4 linked regions of the Drosophila melanogaster genome follow. The gene in region 1 interacts genetically with each later gene. Each region holds a gene or a part of one and is shown in the gene's direction. Other genes may lie near its edges. The genes, in order: upd1, Mob2, Lamp1 and put.

Region 1 (6,097 bases):
TTGATATATGTGATATATGCGAGCGAGTCCCTCTCTGTGGGTTGTGGGTCCTGCGAGATTCGAGTCCTGTGCGTCCGTCCTGCCTTGCGGCGAAATAAAGGCGAGTGGCCCCGCTGCGCAACACAACTGCTTCCTGCAGCAGTTGCTGCACGCTGCACTTACGGTTAGACGCAAGGACACACCGTCCGCTGTCCGTTTCGGCCCGCTATCTGACCATCTACAGCTGTTTTCGGCTGCCCAAAACAATGCGGCCATAATGCAGCAAAACTCTCAATTTAATTAGACCGTCAATTGTGCAAGCCCTCGAAAGTAGGGAGAAATATGGGCATATTTGACATAGGGATGTCCTAGGTAGATGGGCGTCCGGGGGTTCGCCAGTTGGGAGTACCTGGCCCACTGGCCAGAGATTTCACACTCTTCTTCTAGTTACCCACCCAAAGCGGAATTGCGACAATATCAAGCCGAACTCATCGAGATGGTCAAATATCAGCGCTGCGATTATCAAAATAAATAATTTGAGGTGAGTTATAAATGTATCAAAAAATGATGAAACAACTTAATGTTTTACGATTTTTATGTAAATCTTTATTAATTAATTACCCATACGAACAGATTTAGGCATATATATGTATATTATTAACTTCATTTAAACAACTTGAATCATGTCAAATGAATTTGAATGGTATATACATATATAATAGATTGTGAGTGCCAAAATCACTACTTCAGTTATATTGATTGTGGTTCGAACACGTATAAATAATATTACTATAAAAATGTATATATTATGTATTATTATATATATTACTACTGGTATTGAGAAGAATTGTAACTGCACAATTGGTTGATTCCTTAGTGCTTTATCCTATTTTACGCTTTATTCCTTATAATTACTAAATTAATTTTAATATACAAAATATATAGCAATTTACTAGTTGTTAGAAAAAGTTGAAGAAAATGTAATATTGGTTAACGTTCCTCGTGGATAGTTCTCGAATGGATAGTTTACCTGGATTAGCGAGCTGAATAGCGGTGTTATGTTGGTCATTTCCGTTGATCACTTTCTAGACCGATTTGAATGTCAGGACTTTTTGGGAGGGGTGAGCAGGCCGCTCAAGGTCACCCAGAGAGTTTGAGAGAGGGAGAGAGAGAGAGGACCTAGCTGACCGGGCTTAGAAGAGTGAGACAGAGCCAGGTAGGCCTGGTCTTTTGGGGCACCAGGTAGGCTGCCTCTCTTCTTTTCCCGCTCTTTGAGTGAGTGACGCGGATTGGGCAAGTGGGAAAATTCCAGTTGCAATGGCGACCGGCCCAAGATCGCCCTGGTCCGCAGGAGCGAGCGGGATGGCGCGCGAGGACAGCCGGTTGGCAGGCTCAAAGACGGCACCAATACACACTTCGGCCAGGTAGGCGCATACGCACACACGTGCAGGTGACCTGGGAATAGGATACCCCGAATACGATCGGTGAGAGCGGGCGCGGGAGCGGGACAGCCTGCGGTTCTTCGGATCTGAATCTGATCGGTCCGAATCGGCGGTCTTCTTCTGGCTCGGACCATGGCGTACCGCTCGTCGGCACTCGGCGGGCAGCGACGCCGGCAGAGGCCGCTCAGCTCGCCTCAGTTCCCATTTCAGTTTCGGTTTCGGCCTTTTGGCGCTGCTCATCGGTCGGTCGGTTGGTCGGTGGTCGGTCGGTATCGCTCTGGTATTCTGGTATCTGGTATCCGCAGCCTCTCAGCGAAGAAAGCTGGTCAAATCCAGCGCGACTTTGGGCTCAGTTCGGTTTCACACTCGAACGCGAGCAGAAGTGTCCGCGAATCAGTCTCCAAAGCATCGAAATCACCAAATCAGAACACAAACTGAAGCACGGATTTGAACTCGATCTGTGGTCAAGTGGTCTCACAAATATTATATATAAATACATTTTTTTGCGAGTGTTGTGCTGCAAGTGTGTCCATTGAAAACCGCCGGAAAATCAACGAACAACGAATCTCGAACGATCATCGAACATTTGGATTAACGTACAGACTTTTGGGAGCTCAGGCGCAGCACAAACCACGGGGATCCCGCGAGGATCCTGAACGATTCCATTTTTCATCTATAATGCGGTGTGTGTATTATTTTTAATTTGATCAAGACTTAAGAGCAGGCACAATTGGAGAGTGGAGAAGCGATCGAAAAGGATATTTTGGTCAATATCAATTCTCCACTCTTCAAGTGACTTATCAACAAGAAACGACCAACGATCTACTGTTAAGCAAAAAGGACATTCTGTGACAGCAACTGCAATTTTGGGAATTAGGATTAAATTATATAGTTTAATTAATTCGCTCTGCATTAAAATGCAAATCCATTCAGGATATTGTTACTTGTGCGAATCCTTTCCGTTCGTTTTTAGCAGCAAACGATCTTCAGTCTCGAATTTTAATCCTGTCAGATAAAGTAGCTAACTTGAATGGAGAATTTGAAATGTTCAAATTTTAGAATTAGCCCCAAATCCAAAATTCAACCTCAAAAGTTTCCATACACTTTCACACACTGGAAGTTAAAGCCAAGCCAAGCCAGAAGGCAGAGATTTGTCGCCTGGAGAAGATTAGATCCTCGAAACTTGGATCGATACGTCTTCGTTATTCGCTCAGGCTACTCTCGAGTTAATTGTCTAAATTAAAAAGTTTCCCCGCCCTCAATATACACACATATCGCTCTGGAAAAGACAAAAAAAAAAAAACAACGAAAAGCAAAAAAAACCGCAAAACAAACATAGAGAAAATGTTAAAAAAATCGAACCAAATTGTTGAGACTGTTGTCTGGTTGCAGTTGCATTCGCATTGAAGGAGGCTCGGCCGATCATCCGACCCGTAATCCCGATCACCTCAGAGCTCCAGCATCGAAGCACCCGACCACCCAATCCCACCCAGTAACCCATCCACTCCCAAGGGAGTCCAGTTAGTTAACCATCTAGTCAGGGAGGAACAGTGATAGCAGTTGATCGTTGGTCGTCGCGCGTTGTAGCAGAAAATTGAATTTACTTTTGCATTCTCGATACTCATAGTGTTTTTTCTCCACATCTCTTCCCTTCTGACCCCCCATCCCCACCCTTCACATATATCCTATATATATATATTGTAACCCCGTTCGCTGTATCTGCACACTGATTTCGATACGGACCGCGGACAGTAGTTGGTTGGCAGTGCGCTGCGACCACAGCTAAAAACAGCACCACGGCAGCCGGCAACGGAAACGGAAACATCAGCGGAAGCGGTAGCGGTAGCGGTAACGGATTCCGGCGCAGAAGAGAAAGTGGCTACCATGCGGCGATGGCTCGTCCGCTGCTCCTGCTCCTGCCCATCCTACTCGTCCTGCTCCTTGCCGCCCAGTTGCCCCACCTCGCCGAGGGGCGCAGCACCACCAGCAGCGGCGGTCTAACGGTTATCGATAGCGAGCGCCTGCGCATTCGCACCACCTCCAGTACGGCTTCAGCTCAGCATCCCAATCAGGGCACGATCCCTGCCAGCGCCGCTAGTCCGCGCAAGCGCCACAGAAAGCGGAACAGCAACTGGATCGACTATCGCAACTTCGACGAGAACACCACCGCCCTGGAGTGGGCCAATCCCTGCGGTGGCAACTATCATCCCTCGGCGGGTGATCGCTTCAATCGCCAGCGTCCCAGGCAGGTGAGTTCAAACGGCAGCGCTCTTTGGACCCGATCCATATGTAATCCGCTCCCCATTTTATCTGCTTCTCCACAGAGCTTCAATCAGCTGAAGCGCCACGCCTTTCGGGAGTACCGCAGCCTAAACAGTAGCCAGGACTCGGCCATAGATATCCGCAACATGACCATGTGGTCCCTCCACACGCACAACTACAAGTTCCTGCCCAAGCTCAAGCCCAATTCCACGGTAAGCAATCCTACAGTCATACTTTTTATCTATTAACTTAGTTGTCAAAACTAGTTACTAAATCCATCTCGTTATCAACTTTGTATCTATGTATCTTGAAAATAGCTCAATTATCTCGTTATCAACTTTGTATCTATGTATCTTGAAAATAGCTCACAATTGTCTCCATCTTTTTGATTTCTTCCACAGATTGCCCTAAAGCGCTGGTACCGCAACATGCAAACTTACGTGGCCAGCTTTGCGTATCTGAGGCGCCAGCAGATCCGCTGGGATCAGCGGTCCATCACCCGCGAGTCCAGCACCGCCCGCGAGCTGCGCGAGCTGCTCCTGAGCTCGCGGCGCATCCTCTGCGAGCTGGAGACAGCCGTCAACCAGACGCAGAGTCCGCGCCAGAAGCAGCGGCGCAGTGGTGCGGCGGTCACAGCAGTTGGCGGCACCACCATGCTGGGTCAGCAGCTGCCACAGATCTCGCGTCTCGAGATGAACAAGCGTTTGAAGCTGCGCTCCAAGACGAGTGGGCCCGGTATGGGTGGTGCTGCTTCCAGTGCATCCATGGCGGCGGGCGAGGCGGACTCGATCGATATGCGCTTTGTGAAGCACCACTACTACGACTTTTTGCGCACCATGTACCAGCTGCTGCGGCGGGATGGCAAGCGGGTAAGGAGTCGGCCACGGAAGCACCACAAGAAGCAGCAGAGGAGCCAGAAAAAGTTGCTACAGCAGCAGCAGCAGCTGGCGGATCAACTGGAGCAGCGTTGGCGCAGCTCCACCTTGAATGGCAAGGAGTTCAACGAGGTATCCAAGCCAGTGGCCGGTGGTGCTGCTGGAGTTGCAGATGTTGCAGGTGTTTCCGGTGGTGGAAGCAACCAATTTGCACGTGGCAGACGTGGAAAGCGCCAGTCGAAGCGCGTGCAGCGCACGTGAAATAGCATACACAACATTCCCATATCTTTCCATTTCCCCTTACCTCAGGACTCGCCCCTTTCCTCTGTTCTACAAACCCCTAGCCTCAAATCCTTAATTTAACCGTTAATTGATCGATAGTAGCTTAAGTAAATTATTTGATTGACAGCACATAGTCTCTGTTCTCGAATTCATTGCAAGTATTACCACATTCCGTATTTATTGACATTCGTCGAGAGTGAGAGAGAGGGAGAGAGAGAGAAATAGAGAGAGAGATATAGTTATATAGCATACGAAACCACAATCTGCAGTTGCCGTTCTAGTCACATAAGAGCAACCGCCAACCACCACCCACTGGAAAGTATTATTCGCCACGCCCGCTTTGTAGCCCATTCCGCACCCGCATCGAGTACTATGTGACCCCCAGTAGGCTAAGCTAACCCATGGCATTCATGATCATAATTCCATATCCATATCCTTTAGGCTAAACTTTGATCCTAAGGCACACACACACACATTTTTTTTTTTTCGTAGGCTAGCTTGTGTTTCGACATCTGTGATATAGTGCTTGACTAGTTCGTATTTAACCTAATTGTACATATATATTATATATAGATCGCATTGGGGTGGCATGTGGCCGCATCCATGCCTTCGTAGTCCTAAGCTCGCCCTTAGAAATCGATTTTCGTATTTATAGAACCGACCGACATATGACTAAGCCAGCAGCGGAATAAAGCGAACAATAAACTGAATTGAATTTGAAAATAAATCTGGATTGCATTTCATTTTTGGGAATAAATGGTATACATATATCCATTTGGATATACTTAAATTTATGATGGAAAAGAACTTCGTACTTCCCATTTTGAGGTTCAACGTTTTTATCTTATATTTCAAAATTGAAATACCCGAATATCGAATTCAATTCTATATATTTTTATATCTTTTACCATCAAAAACCTATCAACCAACCTATCTTATGTGGCCAACACTTTCGCGTACATTGAATCCCTATACCTGGGGGAGTCAATTACTCCAATTCCCTTGACCCACTTTCTGCGGATTCGCTTTCTGCTGCGCCTTGGATGCGTCTTTATGGCTCCTCCATGGGTCATGGGTTTTATGATCTCCAGCGGCGTCAAACTATTAGCACGTCAGGCTCCCAGTTCCCCTCGATACCGAAACCGATCCCGATCCCGATTCCGATTCCGATCCCCACCTGCTTGTCTACCTGTGCCCAGAAACCCAGAGGAAATGAATGGACTGTGATCAATGGAACCACTCAATGAAAGTTCGCGC
Region 2 (4,994 bases), on another chromosome or scaffold:
CCATTTTGCATTTTCCTACCTTCTTGCCGCAACATCCGCAATATCCGCAGATCGCGATCGTGTGCCGTTTTTGCTGTCCGACGGCAACAGTCGCTGCCATAAGTAATGGGCACAAAGCAATTCGAGTAATGGCAAATGGCAGCAGTTGAACCGCTAGAAAGCAGCCGAGCGTTACCACCTTTTGGAGCAAGTGAGATGGTTGCTGTGCTGTGTGGGTGGAAAGAGAGGGCCATAGAGTTGGCGGTACGGATCAGATGTTCCATTACACGCTTCGTGTGTGTGTGTGCGCAGCATAGTGTGGATGAAATTTTGATGTGGTGCAAATGAACTTGCCGCCGTTTCGGTTGCATTGCGGGCGGTCACAGGTGCGCGTTCTCTGCTGCCAAGATTCCTTTTCCTCTATCCGCTTCTCACCTTTTCGCCCCAGTCGTATTTGTTCTTGTTTTTCTTCAGCTCGTCAATGGACAGCTGTTTTGAGATACACTCGAAAAAAAGTGTATTAATGCAATTGTCTAGTAAATTTAAAAATATAAAATAAGTTTATGTGGGTTGGTACTGTTGTGTTTTTGTTAATCATTCTTTTTAGTTATTCGCTTAATGAATACCACACATGTCGGTCCAAATTTATCTAAGTGCATTGCGTGTTCCTGTTTTCAACTTTATTTACGCAGAATGACGATGCGTTTATATTATGTTTTCTTATTCGGGTCTAGATTCTGTGTAAGTTAGGCAGCAAATGCAGTTCCTGTGTTCTTCGGTTTTCGTCTACCGCTCCATTCTATTTGATTACTGATTTTATTTCTTCCTGGCCGAAAAAGAGCGTGATAATTACTCCCTGTGGAGAGATTTGATGGTCAGAGGAGTAGCTATTTCATGCGGGCTTGGGGTCACTTCATTGATAAGAACCACGTAGCTGGAGGTCCTTACCATCGAGAATAACAAATTGGAATATATCTTTAATTCTTTATTTTCTGTTTTCCTTTCAGGTGAGTGAAATATCTTGAGCATGAGCTTACCCAAATCCCAGGTAATTTGTTTAAGTCAATTAGAGCAGTCATTTTAACTGAGAAAAAAATTATAACATGCTTAGAGTATTAAACGTATTAAATAAATGTTTAGCGCTTTAACAAAACTCTATGATGTTTTAGTTGAACAGATTGTTATCAAGCCAATTAGTGTTCTTGGTAAAAGTACATAAGTGATGTGATGTTTGCGTCAATTGTACGAAATTGTGTTAGCCATTAAATTTGCCGAATTTATTTCGTTTACCTGTGATCATTAAAACCATGTGTTAATGAATCAACAATGGCAATATATTTATGAGAAATCCATTTAAATGTTTCATACGAACGGTACAATTATCCCTTTTCGTGGAAAATTAATTTCTAATTGTTATTTATAGAGTTTATCCTAGGTTTGTTCAATGCGTTAAAAAAGTAGTAGATTCTGCTACTATTCTACTGCCACTTTGCCGTGTTCTCTTGTTACCGAGCTGTGTGGCAACGCCAGCGCAGTCAGCTGCTGAGCATCAAAACATGAGCGCTCAGCTGATGCGAGAGAGCGTAGAAGAGAGAGGGCTAAAGCCAAAGCAGTCAAACAAGTGGTCGAAAACCGTATAGATGTGCGTGTCTCGCTTGAGTGGCGCATTTGTATGCAAAACACGTACACGGGCAGCTCTCTCCCGCTCAGCTGGTATTTGATACCTCTAGCTCTCTTCCTCGCGCTCGAGCGGAGAGCAAATGTTGCTGGTGTGCGAGACAGCAGCAACATCAGCAGCAACAATAACAACAACAGCAACCACTTCATCTTTACTGTGTGCTCTGCTTTCGTTGCCAGTTTTGTGTTTTTGCTTTTGCTGCCTTTTTTCTCTCCTTACTTGCGTGAGTGTTGATGTTGCCGCTGTGTGTTGCTGTTGTTGCCGCTGTGTATGTGTATGTGTTGCTGTTGCCAGCCGAACGAGCAGCAGTCAGTCAAAGACGGACGGCTTGGCTCAGTGTAGAAATTTCCTTTGGCACGCTTGGTCGCTCGAGCGGTTGCAGGTCGTCGTCAATAGTGGACTGTTGATGTCGCCGCGTCATTATTTGACATTGTTTTTCGAGGCGCCGCCGTCGGTTGCAACCACACATCATCGCGTCGCAGTTAAAAGCAAAACAGCAACTCCAGCAGCAAGCAGCGCAACATTTGCAACATCAATTGCCACCGTGAAATGCTATGCTAGATTGTGAAATAAAATCGCCTACCAATACAAACTAATATCCCGAAAAGGGGAACAAATGTAAGCCGAAAAGGAGTCTGTTCTCCAACAAAAAAAAAAAGAAAGAAAGAAAAGAAGTTCTTCTCTGTGTGTGTGCTAGTGTTTTCCCGTGCTGGTGTGAAACTGTGTCATTCGCTGCGAAAAACTGCATTCAAGTTTTTCCTCAGAGCCGCGACTGCTGGCGTGTTATTGTTGCTGTTGCAGCTAGCTGCCACGGTTTGTTGCTTCACTGATTACGCGCAATGCAGCAACAGCAGCAGCAGCAGAAGCAACAGCAACTAACTGCAGAGGAGCAATAGCAGCTGAGAGTTCAGTTGCGAAACCGGCGAAGCGCGACTGTTGCCAATGCAGCGCTTAGAATTGGCACACCAGCAACAACTGCAACGCTGCAGCAAAGCTGCTACTCCAGCGTCAGCAACAACAACGGTACATTGGGCATTCACAATGTTGCTTGGTGTGCCACTGCCACTGCCACTCCACCACTACTTGTTCCTCCACTGCCATATTGTTTTAACCACTTCCTTTGCCGCAGCGGCAGGAACTTCCTTCCTCACGAGCTTCCTGTCTGTTCGTCCGCTTGTCTGGTTGTCTGCCCTGCAACCCTCAACCCTCCCTTATTAACGCCCCCTCACACTCAACTGCATTGTCAGGTGTTTTCTCTGCCACACAGAAAGAAATGGGGGTATTGTTAGGGTTCATTTGACAGTTTTCACAAGAATTATTTAAAGATAGGTTTTTATGGAATATATCCTTATTCAAACTGCCTTTAAATACCTTCTAAAAATAAAAAGAGTGAAAATCTTAAAATAATGATATATCTTATTGGGCCTAGAGTATTTCCTCTTTTTTCCGTGCACATCCTGGTTGCGTTGTTTCTACTTTTTGTCAACCCCGTTGACGCGCCTACGTGTTCAATACGCTGAGAAAACAACAGTTACGAGTGGCTCAACCAGCAGCTTGTTATTTCTCACACCTTTCGTCCAGACCCCCCGCGCCTTCCTACCACTGCCCCTCGCCAACCCTTTGGGTCCTCAAATGCGCTAGGCCATCCATCGATTTTTTGAGGTCATGCTAAAAATTGCAAAGCCAACTGGAACTAGTTGCGGATTCCCATAGTTGAATTGCCATGGACAATTTGCGGAAGGCAGAGGAAATGAAATTGATTCAAGCCTTTGTGGTGCGATATTATCTAACCGAATTCGATTCGTTTTCTGTGTAGGCCCTTCTGTGTTGCGGATGTTAAGGATTTATGTAAGCTCAGGAACTAATTAGGAAGAAGCACTATGATATTTATCCAAACTAACAATTTTAGTTCGATATATAATGGTATAGAAAAGTATCTATGTACTATTTGCGATTGAACGTTTTGCCCCCGTTATGAAACACTTTTCTCACGGTATTTCCCCATTAAGCAATTCCAGCAAAATCGTATAGATACTAATTTAGTAACTCAGCAATCGCATTTAATCGAATTCATACATATGCATTTCGGTTCTATTGGGACTGTTTTCATTCGACGTGTATCTCAATCGATCGTTTAACCCATATGAAAAGGATAGTCACAGTTATAAACGCTGTCGGATGAATCTCTGGTAACTGGGTTAGTTAGCGACCCGAAAACTTCTCTGCGCCTTTCCGCCGAACCGTTATGCCATATGTATGTATGTATGATGCTCTGCCTGCCCGCCGGTCAGCTCTTCCAGACCAAACCAAACCAAAATGAAGCGAACAGAACAGAACAACCCAAACCAGCTCGAAGATATATATGGATGGGTTTTGTACGGCTTGGCATGGGGTTTGGTGGTGGGGGTACGGAGATACACCTATCTACTATGTATATCATGTCATCCATTGCATGTGCATCGCACATCTCACGTCACCGTACCGCTGCACAGCTTCTATCTCCCTTTCCATATCTGCTGTCGTCTTCCTGCTCGTCGTTTGCCAGTTGTGGAACTCGTTTTCATTTCTTTCGTTAGCAGACATAGACATAATTCTCCAGCTTTTCTAGCGAGCAAAGGGGGTGGGGGTTCATTTTCGGTTTCGGTTTCTATTTTTTTTTTCTCTCTTTCGACTTTGCCAATCGCTCATTTGACCTTTAACGGGTTGTGCTGCATATACATGAAAAGCACACTCAAATCGGCAACAATTAAGCTCATTCAAAACGCGAGCAATGGGCAATCTAAGAAAAAAAAAACACTCGCCGTCGCGTTGCTAGAATCACATCATAAATTTCGGTTTTGATGGGGCGCCAGTTGTTCTGTGTGCGGAGGTGTGAAAACGATACTAGAAGGGGGGCGCACAAAAGACAAAACTCGTTTGGGGGGAAAAGACAACAGAGTCAGCAAATTGGCTTCAATGCGAGTTGAAGGTTAAGTGCGACAGCGACGCGGAAATTGAACATTTTGGATATTGGAATCAGTAGCTGGTTTCGAGCTGAATAAACAAAACAATAGGCATTAACCCCTTTTCTGTCATCTTTCGATTTTTCGTACTTTTTTTTTAGCACGCACTTCAGACCATTTTATTGGCTTCCTAGTATTGTCTGCAAGCAATTAAAAGTTTTTGCTTTAAGCTGCACAAAGAGTTTCATGAGAAATTTGGGATATTAGTTTCGTAAAGTTAAAATTTAAAAGCACAAAAAATATAAAAAATACTAACAGAACGAATTAGTTTTACATTGAAGAAAGAGGATCTTCATATCAATAGAAAATCAAAGATCGAAATGTACAGGGTACCT
Region 3 (6,110 bases), on another chromosome or scaffold:
TGTTTGAATTATTCCTGAAATGTCCTTAAGCAAACGTCCTTTAAGGTGGTTTAGGGAACATTTTGGAACACGCTCTCCGATTGGAGATATTCCTTAAAAATTGGAATACATATTTTTTAGTTGCACATTTTATATACCTTCTTAAGTCCCATAAAATAAAGTCGTACATACATAGTTAGACCAAACTTTTCTAAAACATTTAGCTTTTATATTTTTAAGGATTCACCTGTAAATAACGAAAAATAAATAAATAAAAAAGTTCCCATGAAAAAAACTCCACCGTTCCGCCAAAGACCCTAGAATAACAAGATGCGTAACGCCATACGATTTTTTGGCACACGATTTTTTGGCCGTGGCTCTAGAGGTGGCTCCAGGCTCTCTCGAATTTTTGTTAGAGAGCGAGAGAGCGAAGAGCGCTACAGCTAACAACTGTATGTGTGCACACGTATGCTCATGCATTGTAAATTTGACAAAATATGCCCTTCACCTCAGAAGTTCTTAGACTTTAAATCTATATTATTTTTGATCAATTGGCACCATGCGAAAAATTCTTGTTTTGCATTGCCTTAACGTTATTATTGTTTGAAAATAGATTAGAAATAGCCAAATCTATGTACATATTATCACAAAAATAAATTTCAAAAATGGCTTTATATTAGAATATTTGTCATTAGAGTATTCATATTGAGGCGTGTGAAAAATTAATAAGGCAATGATTGTTGAGTGCTTGTGTCCGCACTTCGTGCCGCAAGATATGAACAAAGCAAAGACACTAGAATTATTCTAGTGTCTTTGATATGACTTTTGCAATAAACAGTTATCATATTTTTATGAAATTTATGAAATTACAGTAGTTATAATAATTTCTATTGTACTTCCTTTAATTATTTAGTATATTTATTAAGTCATTTGACTTAATATGATGTAACATTAACATTAAAAGTGTTTAAAAAAAATATTTCGCTTTTAAAAAATTGTCAGATGAAAGACAAATTAGAATTAAACAAAAATATAAATGTGTAAACGGATAAACGAATAATTCTAGTGTCTTTGCTTTGTTCATATCTTGCGGCACGAAGTGCGGACACAAGCACTCAACAATCATTGCCATATTAATTTTTCACACGCCTCAATATGAATACTCTAATGACAAATATTCTTACATAAAGTCATTTTTGAAATTTATTTTTGTGATAATATGTACATAGATTTGGCTATTTCTAATCTATTTTCAAACAATAATAACGTTAAGGCAATGCAAAACAAGAATTTTTCGCATGGTGCCAATTGATCAAAAATAATATAGATTTAACGTCAAAGAACCTCTAGGGTGAAGGGGATATTTTGTCCCATTTACAATGCATGAGCATACGTGTGCACACATACAGTTGTTAGCTGTAGCGCTCTTCGCTCTCTCGCTCTCTAACAAAAATTCGAGAGAGCCTGGAGCCACCTCTAGAGCCACGGCGAAAAAATCGTGTGCCAAAAAATCGTATGGCGTTACGCATCTTGTTATTATAGTGTCTTTGGTAATACCTAACATTTTTTCATTAAGTCAATGAACTCAAAATATGGAAATTAATTTATAAATATTTCCACTGTGTTATAAACCCTGTGTGTTATAAACCTGTGTTATATAAACCCGTGATAAAATTATAACATGTTATACATATAATTCTTTCGATTGATCAGAAATTAAATGTTTGATAAGAAAATGTACTAATTGTATTATATTATGGAATTAAGAATATATTTTTTGGTATATTATTATTATAAGTTTCATTAAATATCGATAGACATCTTGCTGTAGTGGACATGTACTATTATTACGGTTCCATATGGGCTAATTTTAGTTCTTTTAGAAATTCGGTCACACTATTGATGAAGAAGGTCAAAATAAAAACTAGCTCAGTCGAGACAAAAACGTATGTGTCAGTGTAGTAGATTAACGTATAGAAAAACTGCAACACAACTTAAGTGAGATTGCCATTCAATATGTTCGCCAACAAATTGTTGACCTGCTCGGCATTACTAATAATGTTATTTTTACTAAGCAGTACAGGTTAGTGCCAAGCCAATTAAACCCTTTTTAAAACAGCAATGAAATGCGTCGCATTGGAGGCCTTTGTTCAATGTGATAATACATCGCAGTTCTTTTTATATGTATATGTATGTCGTTTGTTCATCGCACATAATTTATTTTTCCGGTGCCGTTCACGTCGCCATATGCGTTAGTGTCTTATCGGCGTAATAAGGTGTAAACGGTTGAATTGCGAGTTTTGCCTTCGTAGATCAAGGGTTTTAAACCTATTTCAGTAATCTGGCTATCCTTTCATAACTCTTCTAGAAAAATGGTGTCGCTTACGTTCGTTAGCCCCGGAGAACATCCATTTTTACCCCTTTCGCTTATTTGTTCTGGCAATTTACAGTTTTGTATGCAGATAAAGTCATCCGCCACCGTATGCATCCATATTTATTTTATGCACTTAAAATATTTATATGCATGGGTGTATAAATCGGCATATCATATTAAATTTGTATCCGCCATATAGCATACTTTAGTTTTTGGTTACTATCTGTCAATTCATATAACAAGATTTTGGGTCATTTGTTCAATACCAATGTTAGACATTTGTGCACATAGTATATACAAAATAATATATGACATAAAAAAAACAATCTGTGATAAAATAACAACAAGAGATAACGCTATAGTCGGTTCTCTGACTATCAGACTATGATAAGCGGATAAGACAACAAAGACTTGGAGCTAGACTGGGCATATGTATGTACCTACATATTTGGGGAGACATATTAAAATAAACAATTTAAAACATTTTTTTTTATAGCATGCGTGATAAAATGTTTCGGCATAGCAACAGAAGGATAAATGATTAAATCAGAAAATATTTTTTATTTTTTAATTTGTAGTGTGTTCCTACTAATCTTATCTTGTTAAATAGTTCTATAACCAGACCGAATTTAAAATTCGATTTCGACCTTATACATTTGGTTTGTATAAATATTTGACAATATGTTACGGTACGGCCATTTTCATAGGATCTCTACAAATCACTGAAAACGGAAATAAATTGTCCATCAAGTCCAAACTCACTAATATAAATAACAAAGGGTAATTTTTTGATAAGAGAACAAAGGAAATACAATTAGAGCTAACCATATGTACATTTGAATCTCTAATAAATAATTTTTTTTTCACGTCAATTTAAAGAAAATTCCGATTTAATAAAGAAAAGCTTTAATATTTTTAAAAATTCTTCTTTTAGTGTTCTCTCAAAAGCTTATTGGCTTGCCGAGAGTCGGTAAAAATGTTAGTGATTTGTTTCTGGAACAAGCAAACCCACTGACCAGCAGCTCCTCAACAATCTCAACGTCTTCGACAACAACTGAGAAACCTATCACAACCAGATCAACTTCTACAATAACTCCGAGATCTACCACACCTTCAACGGAATCACCATCGACCACCGCACCAGTGATAAGCACGACCATTGCCCCGCAACCATATCCGCAACCATCCATTGGGGCTTGGAATACCTCTTGTATTATGCTTCAAATGGCGGCACAACTTAATTTTACCTATGAGGCTAGGGGTAAGAAAATAAATCCATATTTAGATTGCGATCGAATTACGGCATTGGTGAGGTATGGGCTCTATTAGATTTTATAGAAACTCGTCTCACAGTTTTAACATTTTAATGAACTTACTGAAATCGATAAGGCAAATATTTCAGTTTAGATTAAAAAGAGATGTACATATGTAAGGATATATGTATGTATATTATATATATTATATTTACATCACTGTACACATAGAAATGATAATCAAGTTTTCAGACAATAACGAGTGATGCACTAATGATGCACTAAGGGTAACGTAAGGATAAAGACGGAGCGCAAGTTTGTTGACCCATGTTGCCACGTCCACAAACCATTTTTTTTCCCATTTTATTCCCCAATATCTATCGATATCCCAGAAAAATTATAAAAGTTGCGTTCGCATTCACACTAGCTGAGTAACGGTTACCTCTTCGGGTATCTCTTTTGTTTTTAGTTTAAATCGAATGGTGTATCAAGACTTACATAAGTAGTACATCGTATATATAACTTAATAACTTTCACTCCGTTTTGGACCATTTATAATAGTTATCTTTTAAATAATTCATCAGTAAACCAGTATTTAACATATTAAAAAGTGTATAACAGGTAGAAGAAATCGTTTCCCAGTCGAGCTCAAGGAAGCTGGGTTCGGTAAAATCGAATTTATGAAATTTGAAAGCTGGAATAGTCTGTCCATCTATGCTAATGGGCAAACGCTTTTTATTAATTATTATTTGTACTTAAATAAGCAATTATACTTACTTCTAACTTCATATATTATTATAACTAAAAAAAACTTGCATCTTTGTAAGAATATCCGACTAACGAAGACTTTTATCTTTAGAGGGAAACTTTACCACCGGTCTGTACAACATCCCCAGCAACGCATCTGTTGAAGATGCAGAATGTAAAAGCCAGACTACTCAGTTTATTCATCTGATTTGGGGACCAGAAACATCAAAGCAATCATTAATTATGTATTTTAATAAAAGTAATGACACCACTGTGCTTTCCTTTATGCAAATTCATCTGGCTTTGCTGCCTGAGGATTTTCCAGATGCAAAGGGTAAGAAAATATAAAAAATAGTAGACAGATCTGTGTCGAATAATCCCCAATTCCAGAAAATCAAACGGTTCAGCTTATTACCAGGAGCGACGGAGCGTTTAAGACACCAGAAAATATGTCGTATCACTGCACTCGTGTTCAGAAGATAAATATGACTGAGACACTCGATGCTGAGCAGTTAATTGGTTGGATCAGCGTCAGTCATGTTCAGGTGGAGGCTTTCCGGAGGGCCAACGACACTGGTTTCTCAGTTGGACACGATTGCGATAGCTCGGAAACTTCGGATGTGGTTCCCATTGCCGTTGGAATTGCTTTAGCTGCATTAATTTTGGTGGTATTAATATCATATCTGTGTGCTAGGCGTCGTTCCACCTCCCGCGGTTACATGAGCTTCTAATAGAAGGACATCAGCTTAATTGGGCAGGTTGCGAATCAAAGGAGTATGGACAGCAAATTGTTAGAGAGAAATTTAAGATTGATTTTTATTATTGGAAGCCAAAATTGATTAGTTGAAGTTGAATTAGTTTTTTTTTCAAGAGGGTCATCGAAATCATCAAGCGCAATTGGGTTTAGAATAATAAAACGGTTCTTTAAAAACTTTTTTACGTCTCTGTCTTTGTAAGTGTCCGATATTGGTTCTTGTATGCTGATATTTGTGTTTTATTTAATTGGTTTGAGCAATGTAAATGTAAAATAAAAAAAAAATTTCTAAATAAATTAATCTCTATAATGTAGCTACCGTGTTAACCCTAAAAAGGTGGTGTCAGAGAGGACATTTCTATTGTTAAGGCAAAAACCTGTACGCAATACCAACAAGTATACATTCTATTCAAATGTTATATTTTTTAAACATTATTATTGGGGCATATAAATGTGTGTATTCCTGACCTTAACTGTAATAAATAATATTTAAAACCAAGCACAATAATGATTTTCGTTTGCTGGAAAGGGCTTATGGGAAAAATCTTAAAATCATTTTTAATTTTATACAATTTTTATTTTAAATTATTTTAATTGGTTAATTATTGCGCTGTTCCTGTTTAGATGAAATTCTACGCTCCTGCAGCTGACAAAATACATGACCTGAGCTGGGCATCATAAGTTGTTCCTTTAGCAACTCGAAACGCTCCTCGGCTAGTTCATAATCATTCTGCGCCAAGGCCACTAGGCCCAGATTGTACCTGGCTTCAAAGTTCATCGGCTGAAGTTGCAGAGCTCCCTCAAACCGTTCGCGTGCTAATATTAGGTTGTGCGAGTCCAATTCCACTATGCCGGCGTTGATCAATCCTGGCGCATTGTTTTTTAGCGATCCTATTTCATGTAACTGGTTAACGCAATGGGAGGCCATTTCTAGGTTGCCTAACTGAAATATACGTTATGTTTTTAAGTACAAAGTGCATGTACTTTATTACACGGTACCTAT
Region 4 (7,806 bases), on another chromosome or scaffold:
CCACAGGAGGCAGAGGCAATCTCAACTGGTCGAGGCTTTGGTGCAAAAACGTGTCCCAGGCGCCAGCGATGGACATGTGGCGCAGTTCGTTAGCAATCTGGAACGACAAGCGAATGCTGGTAAAACGGGGAAAAAGCGCCTTAAACCTCGGCCTGAGGACGATCTTCAGGTACCAGTCGGCGACATGCACATGGAGTCGTCGTATATGTCCCGCTCCGAAGAACTCTCCTCAACGGACGTTACGCTGGAGAACTCAGACTACGAGACGGAGGCGACGGACTCCACGTTACTTAGTAGCTCGAAATACTCCTCCATGCATGTCTTTGTGCGGCGCAAGCAATCGGAGTCCATGTCACTCACAGAAGAGGCCGGCGACGGAGATGCCGGCGGTGGTGGAGGCTCTGGCGATTTCGGCGACCAAAATGTCATATCCCCGGCCAATGTCTACATGTCCCTGCAGCTCCAGAAGCAGCGGGAGCAGAGCGCCTAGGGGTCGTGACTTTAGGTTCCTCCATTCAAAATCCCCGCAGCCATTCGCAGCCGGAGCAGCGACACCACAGCTGGCTGATACGCCGAGCAGTAACAACAACAACACCACTACCACCACCATCACACCCACAACAAAGCAGCCAACTCGATTCGATAGGATCCCCACTGGGAGAGCTAAATTTGCAGTCATACTCCCGGGCAGTAGCAGTAGAAAAGGGAACCTGCTCCTTTTTGCACGTCCTGCCATCTGCGAATTCAAGCTGCACCAAAAATGTACAAAAATATACTTTGGTCTTACTAATTTCCATTAAAGATTTATTATTTGTGTGCTCCCTAAGCGAGTTTGTTGGACCTTATTTTCGGATGATTAACCGCCCCAAGTCAAAATGCACATATGCATGATATTGAGTTCTCTATGTGATATCTTTTGATTTATTTAGTCCGTATATTGTGAAATTATAAAATATTTGCGTTCGGTTAAGTTTGCGTTGAATACTACTGATTAAGATTCAATTGGATCAAGTATTTTGAATGTAGTTAAGTTAACTCCATGGTTATTTATTATGTGGAGGTTAGAGGGCGTGCTTAACCGCCAAATCCGTAAAGGGTGCGTCCCTGGCGCTTGAGGGCATAGACCACGTCCATGGCGGTCACGGTCTTGCGCTTGGCGTGCTCGGTGTAGGTGACAGCGTCACGGATAACGTTCTCAAGGAATACCTGTGAATTTTCCGAGAAATTAATCAGTTTTTCACCACTTTCCCTTCGTTTCGCCAGAACGTACCTTTAGCACACCGCGAGTTTCCTCGTAAATCAAGCCAGAGATACGCTTAACACCGCCGCGACGAGCCAAACGGCGAATAGCAGGCTTGGTGATACCCTGGATGTTATCACGAAGCACCTTACGATGACGCTTGGCGCCCCCCTTTCCCAATCCTTTGCCTCCCTTTCCACGACCAGTCATTTCTCAGTTGCTTCGTAAAGTTGGCTGAAAAGAAGAGAAGACGCAATAAACTGTAAAGCGACGCCATGTTTGGTGAAAGGTAAACGTTCATTTGACAGGTGAAAACTGTTGTTAATAAGTCTGTTTTCATACAAAATAATGGTCTCCAATTATTTTTTTTATGTTTATGCACAAAAAAACTTTGTTGACCGATTCTTCTATTATTTACTTAAATTTCTCAGCAACAAAACTCACTTCAAGAAATCTCCAGAAAATTGCTTGTGAGCGTGACCAGATCTCGCACACCTCAAAATACCTTTCGCAAAATGCGCGTATCTAGTATTTCTATTGTCTCACTACCAGCCCTGGTCAGTTATCGCCTATCGGCCATCGCTATCGCCGCCCCGTTGCGACAAAAAAGATTTAATCGAACCGAAAGACGTGCTCGCACTAAAATCGCTTGAAAACAGGCCCGCAGACCTGCGAAAAACGAAAAAGTGCAGCGCGCATATACTTTTTCAACTGTGCCCCTCTAGCTTAAAATTAAGTCGCGGCGAAAAGTCGAGTAAAACCCGCGGAAATGCGCATGCAAACGGCGTGTGGCCAGCAAAATCGCTGCCAAGGCACCGCACACACACTCGGCCACCCACACATACACACTTAGTGCTGTACTCGAAAAGTGCGAAGACAACAGGAACTCTGTGCCAAAATAATATTAACAGTACCCAGTTATTCCATTCCACTGCACCTGTCCCCGAAACATCGAAATATTCGCGTTACGTATACGCAACGAGTGCTGTAAACAAGTTTGCACAGGCGATAACAATGTCCAAATACGATCTGCTTTATCTAACGGCGCAGCTAACGCTGGGTATGTATTGCACTGCGAGTGTGTGGGTGCATACTTATTGGCGCCTTAATTCCCAGTCGCTTTATTATGTACATATGTACATAATATTATATTTTGTCTCTGCCTTACGATTTTCCTCTGTAATGCAAGCCGACTTCGATTTATAACCATTCGTGCGTGTGATTTTTGATGATATGGGGTGCGTAATGCTATTACTTTATTAATATCACATGGCGCTTGAAAAGTTCATATATAGGGTGTATAGGCTTTGTGATAGCTTTGTCCTATTAACCAACACATCAGAACATCTTAAATTTTCAGAAATTAGGTATAACGAATGTAAATGCTAGGAATCAAATCTATTTGTGAAGTGAATAATGTATACACTAGATACTCTATTAAAGCACCAACAATTGTACTACACAAATGTAGTAAAATATCGTAAGAATTGTTGACAGTGGGTACTACGAATTCATATGTTGAGCGCCAAACGCATACTCGGTATAAATCGATCGGATACCTAATTCCCAATCTTAATCCATGTGTGTGTGCGCTGAGCATTTCTTTGAATGGATTTTGCTGCATTAGGAACTTGTTGTATGGCAGGTTCTGGTTTCTCCCACCCTTTTGCTCCACCGGCCTCCCTCTCTTTCGCTCGCCATAGCCCTCTCTCTTTCTGTGGCGCAGTGCGCTCTCTTCCCTGTTGCTGCTGTTGTTGTTGTTGTTTCTGCTGCTGCTGTTTCCTTTTTCCGCACAAGCGCCACTTTAAACCCATCCCTTTCTGTGTGCATAATGTGCCTGCTTATGTATCTACTTTACTATAAAGCATGCACGCTTACGAACACACACATACATGGCCAGCGATCCGATTACCTAAAGGACAGTGGGACGAAAAGTGTTTCAAAGGATTGAAAACAGTTTGCTTAGCCAATGGTCAAGAAATATCAATCAATATATCGCAGGCTCGTTGCAATAAACGTTTTCAAAATTAAATTTTTTGTATTTACACATTTAAAAAGTGAATTATCATTTTAATTTTTATCAACAAAAATTTCGGTATTTGGATGAGGATCCCAGATTAAATCGAATTAAAGAATGTAAATAGATTTTCAAGAAACCTTACTGCAGGCCCACTGTGCACTGCATATCCGTGCATTGGGGCCATGCCCACTCAAAGGCTGGTGTGTGGCCAGTGGGGCTAATTCCGTGCCCAAATGGGGTGGCTTTCAATGGCAGAGGCCCCAGCTTAGGACGCTACTCCTGCTACTTCTGGGCATGCGATATGTGTACAAAGGATAGCGCCCACAAAGAGCTCGCTGAGCGCCCTCCCTTTCAGTCTTATTCCCCAAATAGGCTCGACTTTATTTGCCCACCCTTTGAGCACTTCCAACCGATAATTCCATTAACTTTGATCTTTAACTACGTTTTAACTTTTTGAAAGTCTTTACTCATGTTTTAGGACTGCTCAAATATATACTTTAAATATAGATCAGTGCTAATCTAAAACTAGAAAGATTATTAATCTATTTTCCCATTGTCTTCATTTAGTCTGCTGTCTGATTGGAATCCATGGATCTATTTTGCCCGGAAGTCATGGGATCATAGAATGCGAGCACTTCGACGAGAAGATGTGCAACACAACGCAGCAATGTGAAACACGGATAGAGCACTGTAAGATGGAGGCGGATAAGTTTCCCAGCTGCTATGTCCTTTGGTCGGTCAACGAGACAACGGGTGAGCCGTGCAGAAGTTGACGTTGTTTCAGGCATACTGATTAATTTTAATTTTTCCGTTCCCATAGGCATCCTGCGCATCAAGATGAAGGGCTGCTTCACGGACATGCACGAATGCAATCAGACGGAGTGCGTGACCAGTGCAGAGCCACGGCAGGGAAACATTCACTTCTGCTGCTGCAAGGGATCGCGGTGCAATTCCAACCAGAAATATATTAAAAGCACCACGGAGGCAACCACACAAGGTGGGTTCGGATCCGGTTTCGGATTCAGATTCGGTTTAACGTTTGCTGCTACTGGGGTTTTGTCTTTGGAGTGTTTACCCCAATTTTGTTATTTTTCCGTTTGCATATATTTTTTGTTTGTTTTTGTTATTTCGTTTTTTTTTTTTTTTTTTGTATTTTTACTGCATCTTCAAGTTGCAAAAAGAGGGCGTAGGCTTCGCCTACAAAATACCACTCCTCGCATCCGAGGCAGCGTTTTTCGTGTTAACGAACTCTTGACGCGAAGTGGCGCCCGCTCCCCCATCATTTTCTACATCCCCAGCCTCCAGCAACCCCTTTTCGGAGCCGCATGTGTTGCAATTTCTGCCCTCCTGTGCACGTTCGCTGGTTCGTTTTTATTTTTATAGTAAGGTACTTCTTTAGCGATCGGGTATAATGCGTTCGCTTTAAAGGATGCAACTGAAAGAGGTAGTTATTTGGTATAAATCCAATTTATTTCACTCCGATTATGAAGGCTTAATAGGATTAGACTCTACCTATTTTGAATGATACTTAATTGGCTTGCAGCCTTAACCCACAACGAGGAGAGTATCTGTTATCTAATACCAGGTATACAAGTGTCGAGTGACTTCATTCTAGCATCCTTTCTTGTTTTTATTTTTGGGGTGTTGCTGCTGCCTTTGACTTCGAAGCCCTGTGCTGCCAGGGCGTCTTTTGTGCCCTGCTCTTTGTTGTTTTGTTCTTGGGCCTAGCTCGCTTTTATCTCGAAACAAAATGAGGGGAAAAAGAGATGCGAAATTGGGGGCGAACTTTCGTTTTTTAGTTTTCGTTTTGCCTTTCATAGCAACCCCAGCAGCTGCAGGTGCATGCCGCCACTCGAGATGTTGTTCACCTGTGGCAAGGCAGCGTTTAAAGCCCTCTTTAATGTTCGTTCCCGTGTGTGTCCTTGTATCGTTGCAGTGCCCAAGGAGAAGACGCAGGACGGCAGCAATTTGATATACATCTACATTGGCACCTCCGTTTTCAGCGTGCTCATGGTCATTGTTGGCATGGGCCTTCTTCTCTACCGACGCCGCAAGCAGGCGCACTTTAACGAGATACCCACGGTACGTACATATCCTTGTGATGTTGCCGCAAATATATAATTTTAATTATGCAAAATTAAACCCTTTAGCACGAGGCTGAGATAACAAACTCATCGCCATTGCTCAGCAACCGTCCCATTCAGCTGCTGGAACAGAAGGCCAGTGGTAGATTCGGTGATGTGTGGCAAGCCAAGCTCAACAATCAGGATGTGGCCGTCAAGATCTTTCGCATGCAGGAAAAAGAATCGTGGACCACGGAGCACGATATCTACAAGCTGCCGCGCATGCGCCATCCGAACATCCTCGAATTCCTGGGCGTTGAGAAGCACATGGACAAGCCGGAATATTGGCTGATATCCACCTACCAGCATAACGGATCACTATGCGACTACCTCAAATCGCACACGATCTCATGGCCAGAGTTGTGCCGCATCGCTGAGTCCATGGCCAATGGACTGGCACATCTGCACGAGGAGATCCCGGCATCAAAGACCGATGGGCTAAAACCATCGATAGCTCACCGAGACTTCAAGTCTAAGAACGTACTGCTTAAGAGCGATCTGACGGCCTGTATAGCTGACTTTGGTTTGGCCATGATATTCCAGCCAGGCAAGCCCTGCGGCGATACACACGGTCAAGTAGGCACTCGACGTTACATGGCCCCAGAGGTGCTTGAGGGTGCCATCAATTTCAATAGAGACGCTTTCTTACGCATAGACGTCTACGCATGCGGCCTAGTCCTCTGGGAAATGGTGTCACGGTGTGACTTTGCCGGACCCGTCGGTGAGTTCCAGCTGCCTTTTGAGGCCGAGCTGGGCCTGAGGCCGTCGCTGGACGAAGTTCAGGAGAGTGTGGTAATGAAGAAGCTGCGCCCTCGTTTGCTCAACTCCTGGCGCGCCCATCCGGTGAGTGTGACTTCTGATAATGCTTTTAGTCAATGAAAATAACTTGTAACTTTTTTACAGGGACTTAATGTATTCTGCGACACAATGGAGGAGTGCTGGGATCACGACGCTGAGGCTCGTCTTAGCTCTTCGTGTGTGATGGAACGCTTTGCGCAGCTAAACAAGTATCCCTCAACCCAGTTGCTAATCAAGAACCACACCAACATTGACGACGCCAAGGAATCTACGAATTGCTTATAGAAGCGGTACTAAGCCACAGACCAGCCAGCGGATCTGTGGCTCTGCAAAAAAATCAGTTGAAGCTTTTTGCTTCGTAGTGGATAGTTGATCGTCGAGGTCGTAAGACGTTTCGTTTTTAGTTTAATAGTTTGTAGTACCATTATAAGCAGCTATAGAATGGGTTGATTTATACGAAAGAAGTCGTGTAAGATGTAACTTTTCCTAAGGGAAAAGCCAAAAGCTTAACATGCCAACGATTCTTTGTTATTATTTTCTTTAAATTATAAATCGACTCATTCGATGTTAACCCGAGTTCTTAAATCTGTTGGAAATGAGTGGAAACGTACACTAAGCAACTTTGAACAAAGAGCATTAGCTATGTCCAGAGACGTGGTAGTTGCTAATCCGACATTGACTTCATTGACTGATAACCATATATAGTTCTATATAAATCATACATATAACGTACAATTTGTTTTGCCCTCTGGCAGTAGCCTGTGTGCATATGTAAACTGTTGAAAATTATCGTCAAGCCTTTTAAAGTATAATTTTATTTGTACGTTATCGAATGTCTTCATATAGTAGTAGTTTTATATTTAAAGTTATTTTCAAAATAGATTTAACAATTTTAGTTTACTTTTTAGTTGTAACGTTTTTATTTCGCGCTCAAACGTGCATGCGTTTTAATGTTGTATTTTAAATAAAAATACTTTAAACTCCATCCTAACCATCTGATTTTTTATTATTTTGTCTGTTTTATATTTCTGCTTTTGATTTTTATTTTTTTATTTCCAAAACGTAGTGCCAATGACCCTCAGAAATCGCGTAAGCATAATAAATGTGTAATTATGTAATTGTATTCTAATTCTACTGGACAGTACAAGCAACACCTGAAGTTTTCAAAGGAAAGTTTCTTTTTAACAAGAATCTAACTTAAGCGCATATACATAAATTATAAAATATAAACTATACTCTTTATATATACACACAACACATACACGCATAGGCATACGGAACACACGCAGTCTAGCAGGTTTATATGAAGCACACGCTGCGACTCATCGTCAGCATAAAATCTAAACAAAAAAAAAATCAAAGTTAATATTCAACCCAAGAGGTATGCACACACTGTAAGAAATTAGAGCTAAACACAATGAGTAAGTATGTTAAACATTGTTAAACGGATAGTATGTCTTATAATGTTAGCCAAACAAGGTGTATGTCGAGCTATAGTTATTTAAGCTATAGTTTAATTAAGAGAGTCTTGGCGGAATGTATTATCTTTCGGGTTATTTGAAACTTTTTTGCGCAGCATCAGTTCTTATCAATGGCTAAGCATCTGAAATACTTCTGGATTATCA

What was found.
Region 2: of upd1 (region 1) and Mob2, changing one suppresses a phenotype caused by changing the other (phenotypic suppression), as found in Drosophila melanogaster (one study listed by BioGRID).
Region 3: of upd1 (region 1) and Lamp1, changing one suppresses a phenotype caused by changing the other (phenotypic suppression), as found in Drosophila melanogaster (one study listed by BioGRID).
Region 4: of upd1 (region 1) and put, changing one suppresses a phenotype caused by changing the other (phenotypic suppression), as found in Drosophila melanogaster (one study listed by BioGRID).

The regions. Positions count from the first base shown.
Region 1 is NC_004354.4:18,304,816-18,310,912, reverse strand, and holds upd1 (unpaired 1), read left to right. Parts: upstream 1-1,621; 5' UTR 1,622-2,104; intron 2,105-2,653; exon of another isoform or gene 2,654-3,176; 5' UTR 3,177-3,313; coding exon 3,314-3,670; intron 3,671-3,745; coding exon 3,746-3,895; intron 3,896-4,084; coding exon 4,085-4,819; 3' UTR 4,820-5,559; downstream 5,560-6,097.
Region 2 is NT_037436.4:11,550,111-11,555,104, reverse strand, and holds the start of Mob2 (Mob2), read left to right. Parts: upstream 1-1,992; 5' UTR 1,993-2,275; intron 2,276-2,411; exon of another isoform or gene 2,412-2,566; intron 2,567-4,994. UniProt on the Drosophila melanogaster protein: Required for the normal morphogenesis of a variety of polarized outgrowths including epidermal hairs, bristles, arista laterals, and dendrites.
Region 3 is NT_033779.5:21,571,500-21,577,609, forward strand, and holds Lamp1 (Lamp1), read left to right. Parts: upstream 1-1,889; 5' UTR 1,890-1,995; coding exon 1,996-2,062; intron 2,063-3,287; coding exon 3,288-3,614; intron 3,615-4,465; coding exon 4,466-4,687; intron 4,688-4,743; coding exon 4,744-5,084; 3' UTR 5,085-5,604; downstream 5,605-6,110.
Region 4 is NT_033777.3:14,619,694-14,627,499, reverse strand, and holds the start of put (punt), read left to right. Parts: upstream 1-1,796; 5' UTR 1,797-2,254; coding exon 2,255-2,300; intron 2,301-3,827; coding exon 3,828-4,013; intron 4,014-4,080; coding exon 4,081-4,257; intron 4,258-5,196; coding exon 5,197-5,342; intron 5,343-5,410; coding exon 5,411-6,226; intron 6,227-6,286; coding exon 6,287-6,466; coding exon of another isoform or gene 6,467-6,478; 3' UTR 6,479-7,806. Other genes in the region: CG7886 (uncharacterized protein), read left to right, coding at 1-490; His4r (histone H4 replacement), read right to left, coding at 1,075-1,206, 1,271-1,450.